Arabidopsis thaliana: one gene and its partner. The protein of the gene in region 1 purifies or fractionates together with the protein of each later gene. This does not show direct contact. Each region holds a gene or a part of one and is shown in the gene's direction. Other genes may lie near its edges.

Region 1 (3,926 bases):
CTATATTCGGTTCATGTTAACTGAGAATTCGTATAACATATGGCCTTGTCGCCTACACTTTAGACTACTCTTAGTTTTGGTAGAGTAAGAGATGGAAAACCAAATATCATTAAGTACAAAAAGATAAACTGGTTGGTGCATTGGTGTTTAGAGATTCTTTTGAAAGGGTTCGTGTTGTAGTTAAGATGTAACCACTGGAAAAGTAAAGGCTAATAACTCCTTGAAGTTTTCAGATTCCTAAGAAAAAATTCTTGCTGTTATACAGTTAGTCATCAACCTAAAGCCATTTCTACTTTCTAGAGGATACAAGTAACAACTTCAAATCAGATTCTACGCCGTGTACTCAGACTCAGTGTAAGAAAACAAATATGAAACAAAATCAATGTATCAAAATATCACATTTGTGGATTCTGAAAATAGAAAAGAACAAAAAATAAATCCTCAAAACACTAATTCAGAAGAGAAGACTTTAGAGTCGATGGAAAAATTTGGAGAGAATAAAGAAACTTCTTGTCTCTCTAGTAACGACCAATACCCCAAACCCTGATAACTCCATCAGTGTATCCACTGAACAAAGTGTTTCCATCTGCACTCCAGTTCAAGCTTGTGCAGTAGATCACCTGCATTTTACATTCCACATTAGAACATATATAAACCACCTCAGACCAAAGAGTAACCAACAAATCAATATGGAATCACTTCAGACACTACAATCTAAGAAATCAGAGACTAGAGCTAACTTAAAACCAGGTTTCTCAATCTAATGTTAGCTACTCTCTTACGTACCAATCAAATCTTGTGAACTAACTTCACATGAGAGTATTCAGACCTTCCTTTATGAAAATCTCATCTTTTAAGGCAACGGCTAACTAATTCACAGAACTTAGAACTAGACAATTAACCATAAGATAGAGTGAGGAGAAATAGATACCTTGGTCTTGTTTCCGATTCCAGTAGAACCATCAGTCTTTTCAGCCTCAGCCTTAAGATCAACCTTCAAATCCTCAACAACAGACTTACTCTCGAGATCCCAAATCCTAATGCTATTCTCTGTTGCTGCACACAACCAGTACCTATTGGGACTGAAGCAAAGTGAATGAATAATAGAGCCAGCTTCAAGAGAATACAACTTCTTCCCTTCAGCCAAATCCCAAAGCAAGATCACACCATCTTTGCCACCACTGGCACACAACGAACCATCAGGTGACACAGCCACAGTGTTCAAGTAACCAGAGTGACCAGCAAGAGTGTTCCTAAGCTTACAATTCTGAAGATTCCAGACCTTCACAGTTTTATCCCAAGAAGCAGATACAATAGTTGGCACAAGAGTATTAGGACTAAACCTAACACAACTAACCCATTCCTTGTGACCATCAGCTTCAGAGATGGTATACTTACACTCACCAAGCGTGTTCCAAAGCTTAATCGTACGATCACGAGAAGCAGAGACGATCTGACGGTTATCGGTAGAGAAAGCAACAGAGAGAACATCTTTCGTGTGACCAACGAAACGACGAGTAGATTCTCCGGTAGCGAGATCCCAGAGACGAAGCTCACCGTCCCAAGATCCGGAGAGAGCGAATTGTCCATCGGAGGAGAGAACAACGTCTTGAACGAAGTGAGAGTGACCAGTCATCCTCCGCTGAGCAACACCGTATGACTTGTCTTCCTTTGTGAGTTTCCAGAGGATGATTGATTTGTCACGCGACGAAGTTACAATCACGTCGGAGTTATCGACCGGTGTAGCAATGGCGGTGACCATATCAGTGTGGGCACACATTGTGCCTTTCAACACGAGTCCTTCAGCCATGGTTCAGGGTTTGAGGTCGAGATTTAGGGTTTCGGCGACAAAAATGGGAGAGGGCAAAATGGAGGTAACGAGAAACCGAGAGTATTTATAGTTAGAGATAATTAGGGTTCTTTGTTTTCATTTGTCAATAGTTTGGGTCTCTTCATTTGGGCCAGCATTAAGGCCCGGTATTCTACCCAACTTGGTTTCATGTTGGGACAATTATGGAACCGAGATTTATATCTTTCTGTTTGGAACGCTTAACCAGAATTGGTATAGCTTGTTACAAGTCAATTTGATAACCACATGAGTACATGACATGACAACTTTTTTTTCTCTCTTTTGGGCAAACCCCATGAGAACTCTACCGAGAAGTTATTGTCAAAAATTGAAATAGACTCAAAAGTCGGTTCAATTAAAGTAAACAAACCGAGTTTGGCCATTTCAACTTTTATTGTAAGAACTAAGAACACAACTTCGACTGTCCCTGTGGAAGATATAATTTTACATGTCCGAATTCCGGAGAAGAAAAAGATGAAGTGATTGATTAAATTGAAATCGATCACATCAACCATCTCTTTCTCTCGCCTGCAAAGTTATCTCCTTTTCAAACCGAACGAATCAATTCGGGAATCTTCATCTTTCTACGTGTTTTCTCAGCTATGTATCTCTGGGTTCGACTTCAGTAAAAGCTTCACCAGCCATGGATTTCGTTAGGTTCTTGTTCGCTTCATCTTTCTTTGTAATTGCTTACTGTTTTCGTGAAAATTCGAAATTTAGTGTTTTGCGTTCTCTATCTCTCTCTCTCTAGCACACTAATTCCAATTCCTTAGGAAGGGTTTTTGGTGAATAAAGTTAGGGTTTTTAATTGATTCAATACCTTGTGGAATAAATTAGGGGTTTTTGGAGGAAGCATAGAAGGAAGGTCTTGGTGACGGCTGGTTGTTTGGGAAGTGGGTATTTACTCTACAAACTATACAATTCCCATACTCGTAGGCTTGCTGATTTGGAACGAGAACTCGCTCACGAGCGTGAAAATGACGAAATCATCAAAACCCAGTTAAGTTCTGTGCTCATAAAAACTGATCCTTTAGACTTCAGTTCTTATGGATTCTCTAACGGACCTGTCTTGTTTGTACTCTTGTTTAGAATGAAAGCACATTTCGAGAGTATTCAGATGATTGTGGATTCGACCACACTGCCTCACGCAATGCAGTTTTTGAGTATCCGTATCAGCGAGGAGATCGATGTCTCTCATGTTATGGACAGACTGAACCAAGGGAAAGGAATGCTGAGTCCACCTGAGAAACTTCAGCTCTGGGATGAGCTCAAGATTTTGAGTATGCACTGCAGTCACCTACTCTTACTCTATCAAATTCTGTTTCTTACCTGTATATTCATGTTATTTGCCAGGTTTCACGAGGATGGTTTTGTCTCTGTGGTCTGTGACAATGCTTAGCTTATACATTAGGGTTCAAGTCAACATTTTAGGCAGACATTTGTATGTTGACACCGCTCGAGCTCTTGGCAGCTCTCATTTACTTGTAAGATAATATGCTTCCCCTCTTCTCTGTATTGGAGAATTTGCTGTTTATTAAACGATACTGCACATGTTCTTTACTGCTCTCATTTGCTCGCAAGTATGATTCAGTGTACTTTGCTTATCTCATCCCCAACAAGCTATTTCTCGGGGAAACTCACTGGTTGTTCTGTTAAGAACTTGTATAATTATGTCTCTAGTAGCTGTGTTTAATTGCGATAACGATTATGCATTTGACCTATCTGTGGACTAATACTCTGGAATCACCTATCTTTCTTTGATATAGTTCCAGATTACCTTTTAAAGCCACGGCCGCTTGTCCTGTGATCTGCTTGCCCTGTGAGCTTTCAACAGTGTATCTATTAAATTTGTTTCTTTTTGTTTGCAGGAAGAGGTAGATCTCATTGATAGAGATGATGAACAGAAGTTTTTGTCGAGTGCTGATTTTCTTGTCACCAATGCAATGCCAAGTTTGATTTCAGATATGCAGGGTTCAGCCGAGGAAGTCCTTAAAGGGTACATTGCAAAAATTCGTATCTAGATCGTTTATAATTTGACTATTGTTGGAAAAACTCTAATATGTTTTTGTGTGTTTAA
Region 2 (3,926 bases), on another chromosome or scaffold:
TCAGCTGTTGTCACCATCGGTCTCATTGTGAACTGTTTGTACTATTTCGGTAAGCTTAGCAAAACTGTGTGGCAACTGTGGGAAGACGTTATCACTATTGGTGGACTCTCCGTTCTTCCTCAAGTAATCTCTCTTTACTACTCTTTTCCCTTTTTAAGTTTTGGGTTTGCTCAGTGGATTCCATTGACATGTATTCCAAAGGCATTAGACTAGACACTTGTTTTAATTAATTCGACACTTCGAATTTGAAAATTGCAGATCATGTGGTCAACATTTGTCCCTCTTGTACCAAACAGTATCTTGCCTGGGACAACTGCTTTTGGTATTGCTGTGGCAGCTATAATCATGGTAAGCTTTCAAAAACTTTTTACTTTCCCCCCATAATTTTATCTGTAAGTAACGTGTTGACATTGGTTAGTCATATCAGTCACTTTTAGCCTCTAGGAGATTATCTCGAAACCTTTTTAACAAGTTTTCATATTATTAGCTTGGGTAATATTGTAACCATTTGCATTGAGCTAAGTGTTGGATGCCGAATCTCTTTCATTGCAATTTCGCTTCAGTCCTCGTGTTGTTATTGGGCTTTATGAACAAAAAAAACTATGTCAGGAAATAGGAGTTTTCTTTTTTATAGAAAAAAAAAATGGTGGCCTTGATGCTTTTTCTCCAAGTCTGTATTAGGATTCTCTGACAACTAATTCCTGGTTTCGTAGATCCTTCAAAACAACTGTTAAGATGTGTAGTTGTTTATATGGATAAGTGTTCTTCTTTTCTCTTAACTACCTACTGGTAAGAATGCAGGCTCGAACTGGGAAACTTTCAGAGAAAGGTGTTAGGTTTGTAGGGTCTTTATCTGGATGGACAGCAACTCTTATGTTCATGTGGATGCCAGTTTCCCAAATGGTATAACAACTCATTTTTTCTCTCGTTCTTTGAACTTTCTCCTAATTGCTCTTTCCCTATTGGATATCTGATGTTCTTCTACACTTCAGTGGACAAATTTTCTAAACCCGGACAACATAAAAGGCTTATCGTCAATCACAATGTTGCTCTCGATGATGGGAAACGGGCTTATGATCCCTCGAGCACTATTTATCCGTGATTTGATGTGGTAAATATAAGCTCTCTCAATTCGAAACCTTTCAGCTTAAACTATATTCACCCGTAGTAAAAAAACTGCTTGATATTCATTAAACCATGACGCAGGCTCACTGGTTCGCTATGGGCAACTCTCTTTTATGGATATGGAAATATTCTTTGCTTATACCTGTAAGAACCCTTGCACACAACTCTCTTTTGTCACAAGTAAATGAGTTTATCGATAATCCGGTATTCTCCACAGGGTAAATTGCACCAGCCAGTCATTCTTCGTGGCAGCTACAATTGGTTTGATCTCATGGATAGGTTGGTTACTTCACAGATACTCTCTCTTACATTATCATCGTTCCATTTTTGTTTTCCACCATATATTCAAGTGTGAGATGTTCATAAATCACTCTCTGAACGCATTTAACCGTTTCTTCCCCCATTTGTATGAAACAGGACTGGCTTTGTGGAGAGATGCAGTGGCTTATGGTCACAACTCGCCGTTTAGATCTTTGAAAGAACTTGTTTTTGGACCGTAATGAATGAATGTACACGCCATAAACGCCCTTTGTTCAAGCAAGTCCATAGAGATTACATGTATTTTCATTCTTTTTTCCTAAGGGTTATAAGACAACTACTCTGTAATTTCATGTATTTTTTTACTTGAATCATATAGTAAAATAATGTCTGATATCAAAAATAACTTTTGATATTGAACGGTCAAAAATCAAAATCGAAACATTCTCGGTTCAGCTTTGGCTATCGTTTTCCCGGGTTCAGCTTTGGCTATCGTTTTCCCGGTTTAGTCTGATTAGTTGGCTTAATATTTGTGGTCTTTAATCATAAAAGCCCAATTAGATTGGCCCAGATAAATCACAAGCCTCTTTCTTCTCTCACTTAGACAAGACAACCATTATTCACGGCGAAGAACATTTCCCCGAAAAACCCTAGAATCCCAAAATAGAATCCCTAAAAGAGAAAGAAAGCAAAAATGGAGGACACGAAGCCACCATTGGGAGGTAACAACAATCCTCAGCAGCAGCAGCAACAACAACAACTTCTCTATCAACACCAACTACAACAACAACAGAGACAACAACAAATGCTTCTATTGCAGCAATTGCAAAAACAACAACAGCAACAAGCAGCAATGTCTAGATTCCCGTCGAACATCGACGTGCATCTCCGGCCACCGGGGTTGATTCAGAACCGACCCATTAATCCTCCGCCTCAGCAGAATCCTACCCCTAACCCTAATTTGGGACAGCAGACACCGAATTTTCAACAGCAGCAGCAGCAGAATGTATCGAGTCAGCAGATGATGCAGCAACAACAACAACAGCAGCAGCAGCAGAAATTGATGAGGCCATTGAATCACATCGAGCTTCAATGCGCTTATCAGGACGCTTGGCGTGTTTGTCACCCCAATTTTAAACAACCCTTCTCTTCTCTCGAAGATGCTTGCGAGAGGTTTGTTGTATCAAATGCAAATTATCAAACTTTATATACTTTTGATGAAATTCATCAAAGCCGCAGCAATTAGTATAGTTTTCTAGTCTCAATTTAATGATATCAAACATTGATCTATCTATTAATAATTGAATTTAATGATCTATCACGTTTTTTTGGGTTTTGAGTTGTTATCTCCTTAGGAGTCGCCCTGAGGCTTTCTGTTGTCCTATTTGGTAGTAGAATTAGAATGATACTATATGTTAGCCTTTTGGTCAACTATAGATTGTGACTATAGATTAAAAACGGGATCTTTGTCTACTGGAAGCATGAGTTTCTTGAATAGGTATCTTTCTGAAAAAGGTAGATGCTGCATCTGTTATATTTTCCCTGTCTATAAGTATAAGAGATCCTGTTCTTCTCTCTGAGTTTGATGTGGCATCTCTGCATGGTCCTCATTTCTTTGAGATCAATTTGGAATTACGTCCTGTCTTTTCTCGTAAAAGCTATAAATACCTCCTTTTGAGTGTTGAGAAACATTACTGAGTTCCGTGGATATTACTAATTATTCTTGCTATTTTTGTTACCTGTCTTCTTCCATATCTGTGTGAAAAGGTTCTATTGACGTAATATTAGGTTTATAATTGCTAGATAGATCCATTGCCTTGTTTGAACATTCTGTTTCTGGTTTACTGCGGTCACTACTCACATTGCGTGTATTCTTACAACCTGTGCAGATTATTACCTTATCATGTCGTAGCAGATTACGAAGCAGAAGAGGATGATAGAATCCTTGATTCAGACCCAACAGGCCAGGCCTTGTCCCGCTCTCAACAATGGGATAACAACATTGCTGCGAAAGTTGCTGAATTCACGGCAACGTTTGAGAAGCAAGCACTAGCTTTTAACATAATAACTCGAAAGAGAGCTATGGGAGAATTCAGATCTGAGGAAAGGTTGATGGTAGAACAAGCTTTGCTACAAGATGAAAGGAAAGCGTTGATTGAACTGAAAGCAGAAATGGATAGGGAGAAGGCTGGCCGGGAGGCTCAGGAGGCTAAGCTGCGGATGGCGGCTTTAGCTCAAGCTGGACAGTCTCAATCTCATGCTGAGATAATGGCTCGTAACCCATTAAGGGCTAATGCGGTTGGAAATCAGGGCAGCAATATTCAGCTTAGCCACGAGATGGGAGAACAGGGACGTAACATGAACCCTGATGAGATGATGAATGGATGGGGAAACAACAGTCAGAGAGAGGACAAGGAACCTTCAGAAGATTTCTTGAATGATGAGGAGAATGAGAATGGAGAGACAGGGGAACAAGAAAACTGGCGTGAAGCAGGAGAATTTGATTTGAATAGCCGGTAAATGACCAAGGTGAAGACTATTTG

Evidence for each region.
Region 2: the proteins of PEX3 (region 1) and AT5G17510 fractionate together in Arabidopsis thaliana (co-fractionation; one large-scale study listed by BioGRID). This does not show direct contact.

Annotation. Positions count from the first base shown.
Region 1 is NC_003070.9:17,981,459-17,985,384, forward strand, and holds the start of PEX3 (peroxin 3), read left to right. Parts: upstream 1-2,274; 5' UTR 2,275-2,492; coding exon 2,493-2,506; intron 2,507-2,686; coding exon 2,687-2,848; intron 2,849-2,938; coding exon 2,939-3,129; intron 3,130-3,202; coding exon 3,203-3,333; intron 3,334-3,440; coding exon 3,441-3,511; intron 3,512-3,615; coding exon 3,616-3,652; intron 3,653-3,717; coding exon 3,718-3,845; intron 3,846-3,926. Other genes in the region: RACK1B_AT (receptor for activated C kinase 1B), read right to left, coding at 519-620, 932-1,810. UniProt on the Arabidopsis thaliana protein: Involved in morphology determination of peroxisomes, but not in import of peroxisomal matrix proteins. May act as a docking factor for PEX19 and be necessary for the import of peroxisomal membrane proteins in the peroxisomes.
Region 2 is NC_003076.8:5,770,495-5,774,420, reverse strand, and holds the start of AT5G17510 (mediator of RNA polymerase II transcription subunit-like protein), read left to right. Parts: upstream 1-2,025; 5' UTR 2,026-2,077; coding exon 2,078-2,556; intron 2,557-3,272; coding exon 3,273-3,903; 3' UTR 3,904-3,926. Other genes in the region: RCP1 (root cap 1 (RCP1)), read left to right, coding at 1-123, 259-348, 802-903, 993-1,111, 1,207-1,269, 1,343-1,404, 1,543-1,625.